3 linked regions of the Pelodiscus sinensis genome follow. The protein of the gene in region 3 purifies or fractionates together with the protein of the main gene of each other region. This does not show direct contact. Links are inferred from orthologs where the notes say so. Each region holds a gene or a part of one and is shown on either strand. Other genes may lie near its edges. The genes, in order: MED13L, MED12L and CDK8.

Region 1 (7,620 bases), on a different chromosome or scaffold from region 3:
TGCAAACAGATGTTTAAATGTTATTTGTTATTGCAGAAAAAAATATTCGTGAAATCAATAAGATAGATTTAAGAGACCAAATTTGAAGTGGTATCACCTTATACTGTAGTATACCAAGTATAAAGGTATTTATACATCAGTTTGAATGCAAGCTCACTTTTAAAAGCAAACTCCATAATTGTATTTTTTTTACTTCACTGGCATTATGCATATAATTAAAAAAATATGCTGTTCTATAAAGTTTCTTAGTATAAATTCTTTAATACAAAATTTGAAAATCTAAACTTTGTAATCCATGGTACCTTATACCAAGAATTATATTATCTATGACAGACTTTGACAACGGGGCTACAATTATACCACCTAACACTTACCAAAACATATTAATTTCCTAACCAAAACATGGTGAATAAAGTTAACAGGTTTTTTTATTGGTCTTTTTTTTTAAAAACTAAGATTGACTGAGGTTTTGTTTTTATTTTACTGGTGACAATCTTTCCTGATACATTTGCTTCTCTTTTATTTACTGGTGAGTTTTTCTTAGTAATCAAGACTGGTGTACACAAACCACTGTTACCACTACTATATTTGCGGTATACACTGGTGATATAAAGGCACTGTAAACATTAGCATAAATGCAAGATTAAATAGTGTCATTTAGCTCTGAAAGTGGTTAGAAGTCAATAAAAAGCCAAAGGGGATGGTATTTGTTATAACATACACCCAAAAGCCTCCTACAAGGATCCCAATGTACAAACACATAGCAAAAGAAAACCTCCAACAAGAATATAATTCTTTGGAGATGAAGACAAGGTACCTGATATCAGGAACAAACAAACCAAAGGAACAAAAGGAAAAACTATGTAGCACTTTGAAGACTAACAAGATGGTTTAAGAGGTGATGAGCTTTCATGGGCCAGACCCACTTCCTCATATCACATTATTCCTCCCAGCTCATCTCTGCCTTCTGCCAGCCCCACCTCCAGAGATGAGCTGGGAAGAATAACAGGATCTGAGGAAGTGGGTCTGGACCAGGAAAGCTCATCACCTATTAAACCATCTTGTTAGTCTTTAAAGTGCTACATATTTTTTCCCTTTTGTTTTAGCAAGATCAGACTAACACAGCTACCTCTCTACTACAAACCAAAGGAAAGCATCAAAGGTTGTTCATCATCCGGGAAAGACGGAGGTTTACAGTTAATTACAAAACTATCATTACAAAGGCTAGCAATATGCATAACTTAAAGGTTCCAAGTTAAACATTTTAAAATGAGGGTTTTTTTTAAATTTCACATTCCTTCTCCACCTTTAGAAAAAAGTAAAGCTGTAATCTGTTCTTTTTGGCTGCGGAGGAAGAGTGGTTGGAGGGAAGAAAGAGGTGTTTCGGTCTGGTTTGGTTTTTTAATTTCCTCTCCCACTCTTCTTGTATTACCCTATTGCTCCCCATTTTATCTTCCTAGTTATCGTTCCCCTATAAACAATCCTATACTCCACCTCTTTTGGCTTGGGTTGCTACTGGGGACCCAAGAGTTCTCACCTTTACCTGACTAATGGTTCCTTGCAGCTGTGGCATACAAGAAAGCAAAAAGATCTTTTCAAATAAAATGTCACTAATCCGGATAACAAGTAATCGTTCTTTGTATTCATTTTAAATTAAGATTTAAAATATACAGTTTTTGCAACTGTTCAGTATGAACAACGGATATCATAGCTGCTGTAAGATTAAACCATGCCATCTAAGCACAAAGTGAAAGTTGTCAACCACCAGTGAGATGGAAGGTAACATAGATGCTATCAAGCAACTCAACGTTGCATTTTCAGCTAATGCTTTCCCTTCCAAGGCCAAAAAAAGTCTTTCATCCCTTTCACCCCCATCGGTGCAAGGGAGGCATGGCTGTAAACTCATAACGACAGCTGACGTTCAGACACAAGAAGCCGGAGAGCACGTCCTATAGATAATCACATTGCATGAACTGTTTACTGCTGAAACAGCGTTTGTCATTACGAAAAGGGGGGGGGGGGGCACACGCAGTTTAAGAGGCACAAAGCACTAGGGCATGAAGTGTCAAAGCAGGCAGGGGCGGGGAGAGAAGACTGTTTACCACAGGAGACGGTCTCACATGTGGGCAGCGCAGGCAACGGGATACCCAATCCGTTGCCTTGACATCTCCTATTCAGAGCCATGCAGCTGGGCGCGGGGAAGGCGCGCTCGCCGCAAACGCTGTTAAAGAGCCACATACATAGGGAGCGGAGCCGGGAGGAGGGGCCAGGCGGGGAGCAGCCCCCCCCCCCCCCCGGGTCCCAACTATAAAGCCCCGGCAAGCGGCACCGACCCAACCACGTTGCAACCCGGCTGCTCGAAAGAGCATCGGGGCCCCCTACGTGAGCCCCACGCCGGGCTCGGCCCCTCCGCGCTGCCTGCCCGCGGGGACTCACCAGCGAGAAGAGGTTGGAGTGACAGTCCTCCAGGCTGGCCCCGTTCGCCACCCAGTTCGCCGCCGCGGTCATGATCCTCGGCGAGCCCGGCCGCCAGCGCGGGGCATGTCTGTGGAGACGGGCCGGCGGCTCGGCACAAGCGCCCGGGGCTGCCTCCCGTCACAGGGGCGGCCGCCGCAGCCCTGCCCCGCACACGCGCCAGCCCGAGGAAGGGCCGGGGACCGGCAGGGGGCGCTCCCCGCGCGGGGGGGCCTCGCTCCGCCCCCCCTGCCCGACAATCCGCAACGAGCCGAGCGGGCGGGTCCAGCACCCGCAGCCCAAGCGCGCTCCGGCGCGGGGCTCGCCTCAGGGTGGCGCGGGCAGTGGCGCCGGCGGCTGAGGGGGGGCGCTGTCCCCGCCCCTCGCGGCGGGTGGGTGGTGTTTTCCCGCGGCCGCCGCCTCGTCCGCGCGCCGCAACTGCCGCAGGCCGGACAGCGCGCGCTGCCCCTGCCCGTCCTCGCCGCCCTCCGCGTGGCCCCGCGCGCCAGCAGCGACTCCTCCTCGCGCGCTCGCCTCAGCCGCTCGCCACTCTGACAGCAATGGCGGCCGCCAGACGCAGGGCGCCTCGCCATTGGCCAGCGCCGTACCACGTGGGCAGCTGCGAGCGGCGGGGGAAGCGAGCGCTCCAAGTCTGTCCTCTGTCTCTCCCTACACACACACGCTCCTGCTGCCTCCCAGACGCTCCACAGGGGGCGCACTCGAGCAAGGAATCTGCTGCCCGGGCGAGCTCCTAGCGCCTCCCGACCTAGCTCAGGCGCAGCACCTGGGCTCAGTCTAGACTGCAAGCCTCTTCCCAGAGAGCGTCTAGACTACAAGCACTACTTTCGAAAGAGCGCTCCCAGGCAGTCTGGATGCTCTCTTTCGAAAAAGCACAGTTTTCATTCCACAAGCCTTTCTTGCCACTTTAACCAGAAAGGACACTCTCTAAATGACTTAGCCACCTGCATTCTGCTACAAAGACCTTTTACATCTGCACTTGAAAGGGAATCCTCTGAACTGTCATTCATGTTAAAATTGGACACTTGCCAACAAGGACTTAACAAGACTTTGAACTTTCTCACCCATTACCAAGACAGTTTCCCCAATTATCACCTGTAATACCATTAACTCACAAACATCCCACTCTCCCTACCTTTAATATCAGCAATTCACAGACACTTACCTTCCTTCCTCCCCCTTCCCCCCCCCCCCCCCCCCGCATCCCCCTTCTGTTCTGCAATGTGATTTGTCCTTTTCATATTTGTTCATTTTTTTTAATTGTATCCTTTGGTATATATGGTTGTGACTACTTTCTTCCACTATTTGATCTGAGGAAGTGGGTCTGGCCCACGAAAGCTCATCATCTAATAAACCATCTTGTTAGTCTTTAAAGTGCTACATTGTCCTGCATTTTGTTTCAAAAAAAAGGCGTTCCTCCTCATAAAATGAGGTTTTCCACAGTCAAAAAAACTGCCACGCTCTTTTGTTTTACTTGCAAAAGCATGTGGCAGTAGTCTAGACTTAGGGAAAGTTTTTTTGAAAACAAGCCAGTTTTTTTAAAAAAAACCTGTGGTCTAGACACACAGCTAGTGCCCCCACACTAGTCCTGACTACAGTCAGGGAGAGCTAAGGTGATTCCTTGCTTCAAAGTAGGGCATGAGAGTAAGGCCCAGAGTGCAAAGAGTGCAGGTCATAGAATCATAGAACCATAGAGCTGGTAAAGACCTCAGAAGGTCAAGTCCAGCCCTCTGCCCTAGGCAGGACCAATCCCAACTAAATTGACCCAGCCAGGGCTTTGTCAAGCTGAGACTTAAACACCTCTAGGGATGGAGACTCAACTACTTCCCTAGGTAACCCATCCCAGTGCTTCACCACCCTCCTGTTTTTCCTAATATCCAACCTGGACCTCTCCCACTGCAACTTGAGACCATTGCTCCTTGTTCTGCCATCTATCACTACTGGGAACAGCCTTTCTCCATCCTCTTTGGAACCTCCCTTCAGGAAGTTGAAGGCTGCTATCAAATCCCCCCTCACGCTTCACTTCTGCAGACTAAACAGACCCAACTCCCTCAGCCTCTCCTCATAAGTCATATGCTCCAACCCCTAATCATTTTGGTTGTCCTCCGCTGGACCCTCTCCAATGTGTCCACATCCTTTTTGTAGGATGCCTTTAGCTGTGCCTCTTACCCTTATATAGGGTATTAATGATGATGGTACTAGAAGATATACACCTATGTTACTGCTCTGTTTTTGGAAGTAATAGTTACAGCAGGGGTGGCCAATAATGTTTGATGGGGGAGGAGGGCACTCCAAGAATTTGGGAACTGTTTGAGGGCTGCATTCTTCCATGATATTAATGGAGGAGGTGTGGGGTCTGGGATGGATGGTTACATGGCACTCTCCGACACACAAAAATGTCACATTGCTCCTCACTTTTCACCTATGATGTGACAGAAAAAAATCGTAATTTTTATTTTTGTTGTACATTGGAGAGAAATGCAAAAGGGAGCTTGTAGTAAGGGAGGGAGTTTGGATGAAGGAGGCTGTTGTGACCTGGGGCAGTGGACTGGGGTACAGGGGGTTGGATTGTGACCTAGGGCAGGGAATTGGGATACAGGAGGAAGCGCAGGAATTTGGGTTGTGAGATAGGGCAGGAGGGGACTGTGATCTGGGGCAGGGGATTGGGGTGCCTAATCTGGGAGGGGGTATGGGTGCGGGAGATGGGAAGAGGATTTAGTTATGCAGAGTAGGATGGCAAGAGTTGGGGACAGAGGTTGGGGAATGAAGGGGCTGGGGTGCCAGAGGCAGGCTTTGGCTAGGAGACTTACTAGCCAGCAGACCATTTCTGAATTAGCCTCCCTGCCTGCCCCACCCCAACACAGGCTGCAGCCATGTGCTCTGTGAATAACTATGAGCCCCTTGTTCTTTGTGGCTGCCTGTTATTAAAACCAGTTTCTGGCCAAAAGTCAGCCAATGGGATTGTGCTGGGGTCACAAGCAGCTCCTAAAGCTGCCTTCCCCTCCCTTCTGGGCTCAGTTTTTAAAGTAAAACTGCCCCGCAGCCACGTGTCTGAGCAGCATGCAGGTGGGGCAAGGCAAGCAGAGAGCCTGTGTGGGGCTCACTGCAGCATCCGTGAGCCAAATCCAGTGGTTTGGCAGATCAAATCCAGCCCACGCGCTGTATTTTGCCCAGGTCTGAGCTATAGTCAGCTGTATTTTAATCCTTCCCCATCACACACTCTTAGGGGCAACAAAGGGAACAGTCAGCAAACAGCCTTCCTGAAACTTACTTGCTTCATCCACAAAATGGGGATAATACTTTCTAAGAAATCAACCGTGCTCCATACATGTTTCATCTTATTGCTGATACGCTCAATTTTCTTATTACGTTCTTTTACAGAGAGGGCTTATAAGAGCTGAATCAATCCAAATTCATTGCCTATGGTAGGGCTGGGTAAAATGTGTCCCAGGGCCCAGATCCAGCCCTCCTAACACTGTGATTTACCCCGGACTGTATCTGGCTGCCTTCTATTTCTATCCTGCTGCCCATGCCACCGAATTTCCAGGCTCATGGCTCCCAGTCATGGCGCTACCTTGGCAGGGGACAGAGCTATGAACCTTTAAATAGCTGCAGCAATCCATTAGCCATGAGGCTGGGATTTGGGAGCCCTTTTCTGTGTCTTTATTTCAAAGCCTGTGGCTCCAGACAACTCTGAGGGGAGACTAGTCCGCAGCCCTGCCCCTTCTACTCCAGGCCCCGCCCCTTCTGGGGGCGAGGGGTTAAGCCAGCTCTTGACTACATTGGAAAATTCATTAAGTGGCCCCCTTGCAAAATGTATTGCCCACTCCTGTTCTATGGCATACTGAGGGCATTAGACAGCAGTAGCATTTTTTAAAAAAGAATGAATGGTTACATGGCACCCTCCTACATACAAAAATGTCACATTGCTCCTCACTTTTCACCTGTGATGTGACAGAAAAAAATCGTAATTTTTATTTTTGTTGTACATTGGAGAGAAATAAATATGTCACTTGAACATATATAAATAAATTCAACGTTATTTTATAAATACAAGCTTCTCTGGGTGTCTACATTCACTGAAATAAAAACTGTCAGCTCTGGGAAATGCCAGGTGATCATTTAATATCTTAACTTAAATTTTTTTTTTAATAAACATTTCTCAAGTTCACAATGGCCCTTTGATACAAACACTGATTTGCTCAGGCATAATAGGACTAACTAATTGGATTTCTCATTGGCTACCAGAATATCACAGGTGTGGTATTAGCATTTAAGATGTGTGATTAATTTACATTCACTTAGCAACCCCCATTAAAAACGTAAGTATGTATTGACTGTGCAACAATTTTAAATGATCTGGTTTTCAGTAGGAAAGCTGATTTTTTCAGTCTTGTTTTTGTCAAAGCGTCAAGGAGGAAACTTCTTACATCGCATTTTATTAAGCAATTTACTTTTTTAATTAGTTTCAGTTGTAATGATTAGGATCTATTTTATAACACTAACAGAGAGGAATTCAGTGTATGTCAAGAATGTTTATTCAGAAGAGAACTTCTGCAACAAATCCATAGTTGCATACAGATCACAGACCCACATATGCAACTCTGGGTTTGGAACTTAGACTCCTGGTCTCCAGCAACAAAGGACCAACTCCACCAACAGTAATATTAGAGCTTGCGTCTTTTGTCAATTGCATTTATTAGACAGTTTACATTTTTAAATATTGGTGATTGGTAAATGTAAATCCAAGGTTTGTCCATAGGGTTTTTACCTCACTCAATTATGAGCATTTAAAAATCAGAACTACTACATTTACACTAAGTGAGGGGATGGGGAAGGACAGACTGTCATCTGCTCCAGTTGACTTCTCCCAGATAAAAGGGTCAGACTGTGTGATGGATAAGAGGAGTCTTGGCCAGCAGCCAGTGACCAAATGGGTTAAACTCAGGGAGCTAAGGGTGTTGGCAGGAAGCCAGAGGAACCAATGGAATACTGTGCTGAAATTTAAATTGTAAATGTATACCTTGCCATCTCTCTTTGTGCGGGAGTTCTAAGTTAGGAGCTGGAGGAAGCAAGATGAAATAATCAAACAGAATTACCATACCTACAAGAAATATTTGGCATAGAAATGGACTGGGCCTTGAAGAA
Region 2 (7,002 bases), on a different chromosome or scaffold from region 3:
CACTATCATTCTTATTGTAACGGACTAGATACGTATAAAATGTATCTTCAAGAATCACTACACTTTCTAACTAAAAACATATAGCATTCCTGAGCTAAAAGTTGATCTGTATACATAACAGCTTAATCCAAATGCAGTTCCATAAATTTAGTCAAAATATATAATGTCACATTATAGTAAACTGGAATTTTATTTATAAATATGATAAGAGGGGCTACATGGAGGGTGGAAGAGAGGGACTGGAAGAAAGAAGGAAGAGAATCCTCAAGGGTTCAAAGGATTGTTAATAAGATAGAAAATGGAGCTTCAATATAAATCACTAGCCCACATCCATCTGAAGCCAGCAGGGATCAGAAGTAGTTACTAACTGATAATGACTGTTACTGTTTGGCCTATATCAATCAGTTGATGGCTTAAGTCTAATGCATAGTAGATGTGTCCATGTTCACAATCCACCATCAAAATTAGTAGCCCCTGGCATCCTTGCTGGTTGTCTCTGCAAAGAAACGAAAGACTGGATGGGCCATGATAATCTGATGATCTGGAGAATCTTGCACTGCTGCAGCCCATTCTATACTAGGTGTGTAGATAACTAGACAGCTTCATTCTCTAGGACTCAGGCTCACAACTTTAATAAGCGCTGAACTCACCAAAAAACATGTGGGGGAAAGGGCGGGGGGAGTTGGAAATGTGATAGAAACTGTATAATCAGCTACTAATGAGAAGAATAGCAGCGAATGGATGTGTGTGGCCTCCATACCACACAAGGGGCTTTGAGCCTGATCCAAAGCCCAATGAAGTACATAGAAAAAATGAGAATCTCACTGAATGGGCTTTGGATCAAACCTCAAGACTTTCTGCTAGAGGCATAAACTGCTTAAAGTAGGAGCTTTGAGTGTAAAAGAAATACAAAACTGAGATGGGGAAATCTCCTTGGCCAAAGGGGAAAATGTACAGGAAGCAGATATACTGATAGTGTAACTGACTGTCAGAGTTTACAAAGAAGCACCAATTCAAACACACTGCTAGCCCTGAATTACTCTCCCAAGTCCAAAATATAGAGATTAGCCGTAATGTTAGATACATTTTGCTATATTATCAAAGACAACTGCCTCGTAAAGATCATGGTCAAATATTTGGATAGTATTTCAGAGTAGAAAGTACGGTAACTTCTTCCCCTACCCCCTCTGACCAAGTTTTGAAAATACATTTTCAAGTTTCTGAATTCCTCTGGCTGCAGCTTACCTCAGAATTGAAGGTCATCCACAGCCCACTGCTTCAGACTTATAAAAACATGTTTCTAACCATTAAATTCCAGTCACCCACTTGAGATGGCCAAGCAACTAGTTGCTCTTTGAAATTGGAATAAATCCCTACTTCTGCAATTTCAGATCTCTATTAGGTTTACCTGCAAATGGACACATCAGCAAGCACTGCCTAAAGAATTACCTGTCATGTTGGGATTTGCAATTTTACAATCTAGATTAACAATAAGGGGCAGATTTTGTTAAAATGCACTTTTAGAAAATAAGATACCAAACCTTTGTAACAGAGGACATGAACACTTGTACTTCTTAGAAAGTTTTACCCTAACAAATTCAGGGGGCCCATCTCATTTCAGTCATCATCTCTGGTAAATATTTACTAGTTTTCTCCCCTCCTTCCCTCAATTATATGCAAAATATCTATGAGGGCAATTACCACCATTTGGCTGAGGTCACAATAAGGAAAGGAAAGTTACTAGGCAAAATGGTTTACAGGTGACTATAGCTTTCACTTATCTGAATCACTACAGAGGGGAAGCAGGTGAGTTAAAAAATAAACAAGTCCCATGACAAATTATAGCACCCTGACTCTTTTAACAAGTGATTATTTTAAAATAATTGCAGTGTATCCTACCTACGGAATGCCATGGTTACTGCACTGTGCCTACCTGCCAGGGGTACCCTGAGTGTTAGAAGCCAAATAGCTTTTGTTCCAGCAGATGTTACTGAGCATTGCCCAACAGCCAAAGTACTTGCCTATTGCAGTCCAGCATCCATGGACAGAGACAAGCTTCTGTCAGTCACAAATGATTGTCCATCTCCTCTGGGTGGGGATTTACTGCCCCAGACGGCGGCAGAACCAGTGTCCCCAGGCTGCCAAGGGAGTGGAGAAGTGGAGGTCTCCTGCTCCCGCAGGTCCAGCGAGCTACGCCTGCCCTGGTGCCCAGCCCCGAACCCCAGCCTCGCCGCAGAAAAATGCAAGTCAGGGGGGTGCCTCGCCTTGCCAGCCGACATTTTTTCAAAAGTTTAAAAGGCTCCACTGGGAAAGGGGATGGGGTGGCTGCAGCCGTGGCGGCCTCAGGCCCAGGCAGGGAGCAGCCCCCCACGACGGCATCCCTGCTCCGGCTCGGGGCTCCCCTCAGACTAGCAGCAGCTCCGCGCCGGCAGGCTCCTTTCCCACCCCCGCCCCCATCACCCCTTCAGGTGGCCGCCGGGCAAACTTCTGCCCCTCGCCAGCCCCGCGGAGCCCGCGCCCGGCGCAGCCGAAGGCTCCGGCTCTCACCTCCTTCTGCTTGGGGTCCTGCGGGTAGACGTCGGGCGGCCCCAGGCGGGGGCGTTTGAGCGGTCTCTGCTCATAGCTGAGAAGCCCGAAGGCGGCCATGATCTCTCATGTTAGCCGGCAAAATGAATGGGAGTTGGAGACGGAGCAGGCTCTGAGCACCAGGGAGCAGCACTTGGCAGACAGGCTCCCTCGCGCCGTCTGGCTCGCTCTCTCTCTCCTGCAGGGGAGCGAGAGGCAGGCTGGATGCGGCTGCCTCCTGACACACACCAGCATCGCCCCCGGGCTGCGGTCGAACAAGTGCCCCGCAGCTGGGGCGGCGGTGCGTGCCCTGGGACAGCAGCGCAGCCAGCTGGAGGGACGCGTTTTGGGGCGGGGTATCCCCCCCGCGCCCAGCCCTGACAGGGCTCTCTCACACTCTACGCTAATTGCTCTGAGGGGGTTTCAAACCGCGCTGGCGATTTCTTTTCCAACTATATCGCTTTAAATCCCAGACAAGTCGCTCAGCAGGAGGGAGATGCCTTCCAACTGCATGGGGGGGGGGGATACCAGACTGCAAGGCAGAGCAAAAATCTTTCCTCCTGAGGGGGGCCCAGAAATAAACTGATTTTAGATTAATCTCAAAGTGAAGGAGAAAGAATTAATCTTCACATAACGGAGATGTTCAAAAGCGTCAGCGGTGTAGCCCAGTTAGTCTGTAACTGGACAAACAACTGAATAGTCTAGCAGCACCCTCTTGAACTATTTAGTCTTTAAGGTGCTACTAGACTACTTGTTTAAGTTTTTCCTGATACACACTAACTGGGCTACCCCTCTGAAGCTAAAAGACTTTATAACTAAGATGTTCAAAAGCTTCAGAGAGGTAGCCCAGTTAGTCTGTAACAGGAAAAAATTAAAAAACAACAAATAGTCTAGTAGCACTCTAAAGACTAACAAAACATGTAGATCAGCTCATAGTAGAGCCTTGGCTAAGAGCTTGGGTCATAACAAAGCAAAACTTTGTTTTAATTAAAATGTTATTTGCTATTACATGGTTTAAAAGCTAAAGTATCCTCTGGCCCAACACCCACTGCTTTGAGGGGATTGAGTGACTCCCATAAATGCTCTTGTAGGGTGTGAGCACAATTGAGGCCTGAGACTGAGCCAGGGGAGGCAGTTGGGAATCTGGAGGAATTTTGTCTGTGCCTGTTAAGTTGCTGCTTCCTACTGCTTCCACTTAGAAATAATGAGGAGAAGATGGGATAGGGGCTCTGCAACAGTCAGGCAGTTCTCACAATGACTCACCATCTAACTGCTTTCTTAATTCCTATGTGCTTGGTGGCTGCATGAAGGGGAGTGCTGGAGACATGCTCACAGTTATTGTGGAAAAAGAAACCTCTGCAGAGCACTCCACTGTATAGAGATGTTACTCGCTTCCTCCCAAACTTGTCTACATTCCACAAAATTGGTGTCACTTCTCCAGACATACTTTTACTGTTGAAAATAATGTAATTCTGAAATAAAGAATCTTAAACTTCTGTTAATGAGAGACAAGCTTGCAAGCCCATACAGTGCTCTTCTTCCAGTCTGAGAGGTACTCTGAGCACTGCAGCCAAATGCAAGGTGGATCAGATTGACTAGCACTAGTAGTTAGCATGTTTTCTAAGGTTTTGTCTACAGTTCTAAAATTAAAGTGCTGCCGGGCATCACCTAAACATGAAAGTGTAGCCACAGCACAAGAGCTGGGAGAGAGGTCTTCCAGCACTCTGGCTACATCTAGACTGGCATGATTTTCCGCAAATGCTTTTAATGGAAAAGTTTTCCGTTAAAAGCATTTGCGGAAAAGAACGTTTAGATTGGCACGGATACTTTTGCGCAAAAGCATCCATGGCCAATCTAGACGTGCTTTTGCGCAAAAAAACCCCAATCGCCATTTTCACGATCAGGGCTTTTTTGCGCAAAACAAATCTGAGCTGTCTACATTGGCCCTTTTGCCCGAACAGGAGCAGCATAGTTTTTCTGCAAGAAGCACTGATTTCAGACAGTAGGAAGTCAGTGTTCTTGCAGAAATTCAAGTGGCCAGTGTAGACAGCTAGCAAGTTTTTCCACAAAAGCAGATGCTTTTGCGGAAAAACTTGCCAGTCTAGACATAGCCTCTGTGTAAACTGCCTCCACGAGGGGAGAAGCTAACTGCTCCAGGAGCCTGTTTACGCTGGCACTTTATAGTGGTGTAACTTGTTGCACTCAGGGGCTATGATTTTTCACGTCTCTGAGCCAGAAAAATGCAGCGCAGTAAGGCGGCAGTATAGACTTGGACCAAGGAAACCATTCAAGTTAGAGAGTAACATTTTTGGAATCATAGGGCAAAAAAGGGGTTAACAGATCACAGATTGTTGTAATAAACATAAATCCAGCATCTCTATTCTGGCCTTGATCTTTAGTGTCTAGTAGAGTAATGAATTTAAGCTCCCAGGCTCATCTTTTGGTAGTGTTATACATTTACGTGCTGGCACTGTGGTGGGTGCTGCAACACCCTCTGGCTTGAAATGGTTTCCCTTATATATTGGGTTTACAGTTTGGTTTAATGGCTCTCAGCACCCTCACTACACAAACTGTTCCGGCATCCCTGGTTGTGCAGGTTTCTTTTGAGGATGAGGACTGATAGGTCAAATGTAGAGTGATCGCTGTGTGAAAAATGTTCACTCACAGGTGATAGGGTGTTATCTTTTTTATTTTCCTGCATGAGTTCATTCAAGAGCATGGTGATTGTCTGGTTTCACTTACATAGTCATTATTGGGGCACATAGTGCACCGCATGAGCTATCTCGTGTGCTGTGGTAGACATGGGCCTTGAAAGGTATGTTATAGGGAGTGTTGATCATATGGAGCTGTGAAGCTGTGTCTACAAGTTTTGCATCTGTTGTTCTGATGCCACTTTAAGTTGTTGCATCCTGGTCTAAGTGGAGCTTGCTTTTGATGATGAAGTTGGAGCAGTTAAGTCCTTGTTTGAAGGCCAGAAATTGGGGTTCAGGAAAGATTTCTTTCAGGGTGGGGTCTGCCTTGAGTGTGCATTGTAGTTGTTTGATGATAAAGGGCCACTCTACTATGAATGGGCCCTTACAATATGCATTAACTACTCATGCTAAACAAATAACAAATAACCTGTTCCACTTATTTTGCTGTGCTGCTAGGGGCACCTTTTCCACACCTGGAGAAGAGCTCTGTATGACTCAAATGTTTGTCTTTCTCAGCAACAGAAGCTGATCCCATAATAGATATTACCTCATCTACCTTGTCTCTCTAATATCCTGGGACCGACACAGCTACAATTATGCTGCATAGATTACAGAGGGAGTCATTTGCACTAACAGAAGAAATCCCACAGCACTTTAAATTTCCTGCATGGATGCTTTTTTGTGTTCCCCATTCTGGGCCTTTGTCGTATCACATCCCCCTTTTGGGTTTGGCAGGTTGCTACATTGTTCCTCTGGCAGGTGTGTTGTTTGCAGTGCTGAAGAGAGGGTCCACCAGCCATTACAGACCCTTCTTCCAGTGAATATATTATGTGGCTGCTGGAAGAAAGCCCACAGTTAGGGTGTGTCTAAACTCCATGGCTCCGTCGATGGAGCCATGTAGATTTGTTTGTTCGGCAAAGGGAAATGAAGCCGTGATTTAAATAATCGCAGCTTCATTTAAATTTAAATGGCTGCTGCGCTGAGCTGACAAACAGCTGATCAGCTGTTTGTTGGCTCAGCGCGCTAGTCTGGATGCTCCCCTGCCGACATGAAAGCCCTTTATCGACCTCCCTGGTAAACCTCATCCTACGAGGCATAACGGGGAGGTCGATAAAGGGCTTTCAGGCCAGTGTGGGAGTGTCCAGACTAGCACGCTGAGCCGACAAACAGCTGATTAGCTGTTTGTCGGCTCAGCGCGGCAGCCATTTAAATTTAAATGAAGCCACGATTATTTAAATCATGGCTTCATTTCCCTTTGCCCATCAGCCTAATCTACGTGGCTCCATCGATGGAGCCATGTAGTTTAGACACACCCTTATTGTGTAGCAGGTGCACACCTTATGGGTCTCTTAAGTCAAGTGGTGAGAGTGGAGACAAAATCTCCTCAGGGTAGGTCTCTTCCCCTTGTGGATGTCACATAACAATGGAACAGAGATACAGAGTGATTGTGCTATAGAACAATGTTATCCCTCGAGCTCATCTTTCTCAGCCTTCACTGGAGAACCTGACTCACACCTTCAACCCAACTCCCCACCCCATCTGCCTTCCCACTGCAGTTTTACAGAAACAGCAACACCCATCTCCTCACAATTCCCCCTTCTTTTAGAAATTTCTAAGTGAATGTATTGTTCACAGTAGGGAAGGACTAATGGCTTTGGCTGGAGCCAGGTGGAGCACAAGTAGGTAATGGATAAATATCCCACATAGCACGGTGAGAGTGTATATCTCACTTTGACTCTACATC
Region 3 (7,767 bases):
TTATGACCCTTTCCTCCAGAGCAGTCGCAACCCCTCCCAGCTTGGTATCATCTGCAAACTTAATAAGCGTTTACTCCATATATATATTTACTCCGTGGCAAGTAGATTTTAGCCTGGCACAGCGCTGCAGCGCGATTAGCGCATGCACAGCAGCGCGATTAGCGCATGCACAGCATGCCAAATGGCATGGCTGGCGAGCAGGGCTTGCCGCCGCTTCTCAAGCCCTGCATATATATATATATATATGCAGGCTTGAGAATCGTGCTGCAGCACTGTGCCAAGCTAAAATCTACTCGCCACGGGTGAGTAGATTGACCTAATTGTCGAGCCCTGTATATATGCATGCATGCATGCATTTTGTTTGCATATTGGTGGTGCACATCCACAAAATACTTCAATAGTGGTGTTGCACATAAAATTTCAATTGCCCCTCCTCCCCCCAATTCAACCCATTCAAAGATAGGAGAGATTAGAGGGAACACTGTTCAACACCTAGGGCTCTGTTCTTGAGACCACAGATCAGCATACCTTTTGAAAATATTGATGAAAGAACACACCAACTTGAGAAATATTTGCTAAACAATACACATCCAAAACATTGGAACAGCTCTGCATAAAAATGTTGTTAAGTATTTGTCATCTATATTTCCACTAACACTGTCCAAATTTTACATTGTTTCTGGATTTAAATGTTTCCAGATTATCTTAATGGTAACATTTTAATCATGTATTCCTAAACTCTAATGTTTAACTTTACTGAAGTCAACAATTACTCACCTTAAGTTACATTAAACGAATGCACAGAGGATCAGAAACACAATCTGTTCCTCCTAACTCTTATTTCCAAAGTCCAGGAAGGAGTATTATTTTTGGGTGTAATATTTAATTTTAAAAAAATAACCAACGTATTAGCTGGCCCTCAGCAGCAAACAAAATATATACTGTAATAATTATGCCAGCGTCACTATAAGCATGCCTAATAGCCTTTTTAATATGTAACGTTTAAATGTGAGCCATTTCCCTTATACCGAGTTCTCTATGTAATAATGATATTAGCATGTACACGTGGATGCAAGTACATAAAACCAAGACTAATAAAATTTTCACCGATAACTGGGGCAAGCAAAATTTTTAGTTTATTGACTATAAAAACACTGCCATTTTAAATGGTTGAAATGTACCATCCTAATATGCATGGGGAAAATTATCAGTAACAGACTAATGAAGTTATCCCAAGGGGCTGGAGGGAGGGAAGGAAAAAATAAAAAAGATGAGATTTAAGATGAAAGGGAACAACCCAAACATGGCTAAAATTTAGAAAAACTGACAACACTAAGCTCTGCATTTTCCCAGATCTCCTGCTTCCCACTGCTGTGCTGTTGAAAAAGTGATGTTTTGCTATGGAATAATAAATCCAAATGACATACGTATTTTTCAGTACATTTTTACAGACAGCTATGTTCCTATACCTCCATCTCCCAAAAACCGTACTATGAATTGGCCATAAAAAAGATTATCTTCAAAAATGCTTCTCTTTCAAGACTAAGATTTCAGTCATAGGTGCAACCAGTACAAACTCCTTCAAGACTAAGATTTCAGTCATAGGATCAACCAGCAAGAACATTCAAAATGGTGACTAGCAATAATAAATCAGAAAACCCACCATGAAAATTAAATCCAACCCTGCAAAATAGATGATGGAGGCTGAGGCTTTTCTAGCATACAGCCATTTGTCCAGAAGTAAAGATCTCCAAGTTATATGGATTTTTTTCAGCCAAAGAAAATTTTCCCCCTCAAAATCTGCCAGTACCAACAAGACACCAGCCAAATGGTTAGGAGAAAGTGTATTTTCATCTGTGACTGTTTATCTCCACCGTCATTGTTAGATTGTTAGGAACGGAGTAAGGGACAATGAGATGGTTAAGGCTAAAGGAAAGAGATATAGCAGCAGAGGGACAGAGCAAGGGGAAACAATAAAAATGGGTGCAAGGCACAGAAGAGGGGATAGAATACACAAACAGAGGGCTATTGGGATATGACAGTCACCAGTCAATATCAGCTCAGGGAACAATATAAGTGGGACAGCAAAGCAGCATGGAATGGAGAAATGGGTATACAAGGATAAAGCATGATAGTGGAAGAGTGGGAGCAGCGTATGGAGGACACCATTCAGGAAGCTGGATCTGGATCCAATGAAATGGGGACAGAAAAGCTATGTGGAACTTGGCCAGCACACAGGAACATGGGGGTCCCATAAAGCAGGGCACAGGTGATGGGGGAGGGATGCGATAGCTAGTAGGGAGCAAGGCACAGACACAAGGGAAGTGACAGGGGACAATGAGGCAAGAGGGACGGTGGGAGGGGGCAGACACACGGGAGGTGGCGAGGGACAATACAGCATCAAAGAGGGGGCAGGGCACAGACGGGTGCAATATCGCAGCACAGCAGAGACGGGGTAGGATGCAGACGCAGGGTGCCAGGGGGCAGGGAAGCAGCAGGAATGGGGCAGGAAGCGGGCGGCAAACACGAACCAGGGGCAGCACGGGGCCGGGGCCAACACTCACCCGTCTTTCCGCTTGGCTTTGTAGACGTGCCCGTAGGTGCCTCTCCCCACCTTGCAGCCCTCGTACTCGAACAGGTCCTCCACCCGCTCCCGCTCCCCAGTCAGCTTCACCTTGAAGTCATAGTCCATCTTCAGCGCCCGCCGCCGCGACCCACAGCCCGCCGCGCCTCCGGACACCGCAGGGACCAGGGAGGAGGAGGCCCCGCACCAGCGACACGGACCATCCAGGGGGAAGCCGACGAGCGCGGGGGCTGCCCCCTTCCTCTCTCACCCCGTCTCCTGCCGCTCCCTGCCCGCCGCAGCCAGACAACGGCACAACAGCCGGTATTGCACCTGGAATACGGCAGCCCCGCTTCACTGCACTGTTGAAAAAGCGTCGCAAGCCGCTCTCACCGCGACACCTCCCCAGCAGCAGCGACTAAAACACCACGTGGAATCTAGCCGGCTGAGAGCGCCCAGTCCACCTCCCGGACCGGCATGCATTGCGCCACCGGGGGCCGGCGCAGGAGCGTTGCATGATGGGAGTTGTAGTACAGGCTTCGGTAAAGGGCCCCGCTTTGCATGCTGGGAGTTGTAGTCTGAGCTGAGCTAATGTTGGAGCGTTGCAGGCTGGGAGTTGTAGTCTGGGGGCGGTTGAAGGCGCGCTCATTGGAACGGAATGGCGCCAAGGCAGAGCGCTGGGTGGCGCTAGGGGCTTATTGCGTGCATGCTGGGGTTGCTGCATTCTGGGAACTATAGTTTGGAAGGGGGTTAACAAATGATTGAAGTTGCATCTACCCCAGACGAGCTGATAAGATTTAAAATAAGGCAGTCCCTGCCAGTATTAACCATAAAGTCACATTTAACATCACTTTTGTTCATACAATTCCTCAAATTGTGGTCTAACATGACCTAATCTTTTAGTGAGGACAAGCCCTATGTGTTAATGCATGCGTAAATTTGGACCACAGATTCTATAGTTTCAACCAAGAAAGGCAACTGTATGCTTTGCGGTAAATCTGTGCATTTTTACCTAATGAAGGGCCACTCCCTGATTCCCGTAATTATGCTAAATAGTAATTTACCTCACACATAATCCCATGGAAGGCAGTAGATTTGTTTGTAGGTGCTTCATAAATTCAGTAATTATATCAGAATTTGGCAAATAGGCACTAGGGATGTAAATACTCATTTAAAAAGTGAACTGATTAAAGGATAGAATTTTAATTGTTTAACTGGTTAATTGGGGTCAGCCTGCTGAGGACAGAGTGCTGCCTCCAGCCTGGCCCTCTCTTGGCAGGAGTGGGAGTGCTCCAGCCAGCTGTGGTTCTGCCATGCCACAGGCGGGGGATTGTTCCAGCCAGCATCCTTCCATGCCCTGGGGGTTGCTCCAGACAGGGTCCTGCTGAACTGCAGGTAGGGGACTGCTTCCACCTAGTGGGCCCTTGCTGGCTGGGCTACAGCAGGGAGGAGAGGACTCTGTCCCCAACCCAGCCCTCTAGTTAACTGGTTTGTTAACAGAGTAAGTATGACTGTAAGTGTAATGATTCTTGGGTAACCTTTAACATCCTAATAGGCACTACCTAGGGTTCCCAGGTGTCCAGTTTTGAACCAGACAGTCTAGTATTTGAGCTTTCTGTTCTGGAAACAAATTGAGAAAATATAAATGTCCGGTATTTTCAAAATAAGATGTAATATAGATTGTGATGTAATGTTAAGTGTGTCCAGTATTTTTGTTGAAACCATCTGGCAACCCTAGCACTAGCACCAAACCAGCCACTTTTCTGGCATGTCTACTGGTCACGTATGTGTAAGGCTGATAAGCCCTGGTCCTCAACAGAAGGGATTGAATCTGTAATGTTAGGGGCTAAAGCCATGTGCTAAGTTATCCAAGCATAAAGATGGGTTTCTGAAAACTAGAGAGCCATAAAAGGAGTCAAGAGTTAGGCCAGCTTTACACTTTAAAAGCTGCAGGGGCACTGGTATAGCCGTTTAGTGAAGCGACTACTACTTCAACAGGAGAGCTCCCATCAGCAGTTAGTCCACCTCCAAATGAAGTGTTAGGTACATCCATGGGAGACGCTGACAAAGCATTATCTATGTCATGGATTAAGTCAATATAACTACATTGCTCAGGGTGTGTATTTATACTGATGTAAGTTTGTGTAGACGTGGCCTAAAAATGCTTATTACGGAAGGATATAAACACACAAAAATATAGAATCAAGAATAGAGTTCTGGGAATCTGTACTATGTTCTAGATATTTACACTAAATCTAAAAAGCTTTCATGATTAGCCAATCATCTCAGGAGTCAAAACCACATTAAAAACACACGTGTACTTTCTCTTTTGGTTTTTAATCATTTTGTCAGAATGTTTAGAAGCTCTTCTTATATCTTTCTGCATATGTTTCTCTTGCAGGAAGGAATATTTATATTTAAATTGCCCTGTCAGTATTACTGTTATATTTGCTAGTGAACAATACACCAGACTAGGGGTGCACTGCACGGCTATTTTGGGATACCAGAAGTATCCCAAAATAGTTACCCCACATCTACACAAGCTGCCCGTTATTTCAAAATATTTTTCAAAATAACAGGCAAGCTATTTTGCCCTCCCGGTAAACTTCGCTGCACAAGGGATAAGGGATAGCTCAACATAGCTCCAAATTTGGAAATAATGTGCTGTGTAGAAGCACCAAATTTCAAATTGGATTCTAAATAAGATACACAATTTGCATAGCACAAATTGGGTACCTTATTTTGAGTTTAGGGTACTTGTAGATGCGCCCGAGGACGCTGAACACTGTTCCTAGGCCTGCTGGATGGCCATGGGCAAGTCCTTCATCCCAGTGCTTCATACTCCTATCTGTAAAATGGAGCTAATGATACCTATAGAGAGTTAAATTAGAGAGACTATCTTAATCTTGCTGACATTTCAGGATCTCCTTTCATTTTTATTTCAATACCTATATTTAATGGAAAAGACATTTTTCTATTTATTTCAGAAATCTGCCAAGTATCACAAAAGTTCTAACAATGACCAAAATAAAAAAAGACAACCAGTTTTTAAGCTCCATTTTTAAAGAAAGAGCTTGCTATGCCTTCACCTTCTACTCCTCAAACTCAATATCTAATTTTTTTCCTGGGGACAGTGCTGCTTCTCTAGAGTGATAAAAGTTTATTTTCTATTGCTTGTTTCCTTGTCTTCTCTCCTCCATGCTGTCATTCATACATAATTCAGCAAAGCATTGAATACAGTGCTTAATTATTTTGCTCAATTTAGGGCTTCAAACCTCTTCTCCTGCTCCCATCCTTTTCTTACTTCATATCCCCCTTGCCAAGATTTTTACTCCATGCTTGTGCTGTGCTTTTCATCCCCACACTCCCTTTATAAATCTCTTCCTTTTACCTTGCTTGAAATAAAGCCATAGTTATCAACTAGAAGTGACTGATCATGGAATTTAGTACAACAGTGGAGACAGGTACCAAAGTGAACAGTTTCTGTTCTGAGAGCAGGGAAGTCGCAGGAGACTGTCATCATTAAAGGCTCCTGAATGTAAGGAATTATATTTACAAGCAAAAGTTTTGGAGCATAGAAGGGAGCCTGGCTGAGCTCTAACAACCTGCACATACTAACTGCTGGAATAGGACATTAAACAAAGAAAGATCTGAATTGTAGTAGTACTGGATATGAAAAGTCTGAAGGAAAGTATGTGCTTAATTATAGAGCAAATAACTCCTTGGACAGCCAACCATGCCGCAACCTTTAGCATGAGAATATTTAATATGAGAATTATTTCCTCTGTATTTTGCAGTCTTTACAGAACAAGAAAAGCAGAGAGGAGGAACACAGTTGTAGACTCAACTAAAGTGGACCCTAGGTGGGGGCTTTTGTCTCCTCCTTTTGGATTGTGGGGAGTTAAGTCAGTACTGAAGCAGGAAGCAACTGCAGTGCCACACTTGGTAAACTCTGTGACATTGCTTTAAAAAAGCACTGCTGCTCAACTTTAAGGCCATGTCAGGCAGATGGGGAAATCACCGGCTATGTCTACACTGCTAGGGTTGCCAGGTGTCCGTTTTTTGCCCGGGCAGTCCATTATTTCTGGCCCCCGTCTAGTAAAAAAAATAAAATAAAAAAATACAGGACATGTTAAATGTCCAGTATTTCTGTTTTTCTTTAATACTAGAAAAACTTACAAAACAACTAATTGTCTAGTAGCACCTTAAAGACTAACAAAACCTGTAGGCTATGTCTACACTTGCTGTTTCTTGTGCAAGAACATCTTGCGCAAGGGTTCTTGTGCAAGCAGTTTTGTGCAAGAAAATGTCCACACTGCCATGTGCGAGCTGCGCTTTTGCGCAAGAGCTCCCATGGCAGTGTGGACGCTCTCTTGTGCAAGAAAGCTCTGATGGCCATTTTAGCCATAGGGCTTTCTTGCGCAAGAAATCCCTGCCGAGCGTCCACACTGCCCTCTTGCGCAAGAGCTCCTGCACAAGAGGGCTTACACCTGGGGAAAAAAAAGCGTAACTCTTGCGCAAGGAAATTTACAGTATGGTGTGGTAAGAGAGGGCTCCTTGCGCAAGAGCGGGCAGGCAGTGTGGACGCTCTGCAGATTCTTGCGCAAGAATGGCCGTACTTGCGCAAGAAGCCGCGGGTATAGACATAGCCATAGATGGTATCATGAGTTTTCATGGGCATAACCCTCTAGTCATCTGAAGAAATGGGTTATGCCCACAAAAGCTCATGATACCATCTACATGTTTTGTTAGTCTTTAAGGTGCTACTACACTATGTTGTTTTTACAGTTTTTCTAGTATCAAACTTGTAAATGAATTTCAGTTCAGCAGTCTCCCTCTAACTGTGTGATAAAATTCCTTTGTAGAAGAATGTTTACTTTTAAGTCAGTGCTATTGACAAAGTCTTGGGCCCACATCCTATAAGACCATATGTATGTGCTTCAGCTTACACATAAGTAGGCACACTGAATTGGATGGGATTATTGATGGGCTTGATTTTATTTACAGAACCATGGTTACATATCCAATGAATAGCAATGAAACAGAAGTATTAATACAAGCTGAAGAACACAAGATTGGGATTTTTTTTTAATTTGTTGTCTTCATTAAGTGGCAGGACAAGATCAGAAGTTAGGATACTTAAAGCTGAAGCCAGCAGCTGCCTCTATCAGCACTAGTTTGGTTTCAGTGTCTTTCTTGATACA

What was found.
Region 1: the proteins of CDK8 (region 3) and MED13L purify together in Homo sapiens (affinity purification with mass spectrometry; 6 studies listed by BioGRID and IntAct, counting the BioPlex papers as one, with this or other methods). This does not show direct contact. The link is inferred for Pelodiscus sinensis from reciprocal best matches to the Homo sapiens genes CDK8 and MED13L.
Region 2: the proteins of CDK8 (region 3) and MED12L purify together in Homo sapiens (affinity purification with mass spectrometry; 3 studies listed by BioGRID and IntAct, counting the BioPlex papers as one, with this or other methods). This does not show direct contact. The link is inferred for Pelodiscus sinensis from reciprocal best matches to the Homo sapiens genes CDK8 and MED12L.

What each region holds. Positions count from the first base shown.
Region 1 is NC_134725.1:12,063,823-12,071,442, reverse strand, and holds the start of MED13L (mediator of RNA polymerase II transcription subunit 13-like), read right to left. Parts: upstream 3,024-7,620; 5' UTR 2,509-3,023; coding exon 2,437-2,508; intron 1-2,436. UniProt on the Homo sapiens protein: Component of the Mediator complex, a coactivator involved in the regulated transcription of nearly all RNA polymerase II-dependent genes.
Region 2 is NC_134720.1:26,769,013-26,776,014, reverse strand, and holds the start of MED12L (mediator of RNA polymerase II transcription subunit 12-like protein), read right to left. Parts: upstream 3,015-7,002; 5' UTR 2,647-3,014; coding exon 2,548-2,646; intron 1-2,547. UniProt on the Homo sapiens protein: May be a component of the Mediator complex, a coactivator involved in the regulated transcription of nearly all RNA polymerase II-dependent genes.
Region 3 is NC_134711.1:301,415,508-301,423,274, forward strand, and holds the start of CDK8 (cyclin-dependent kinase 8), read right to left. Parts: upstream 3,040-7,767; 5' UTR 2,693-3,039; coding exon 2,565-2,692; intron 1-2,564.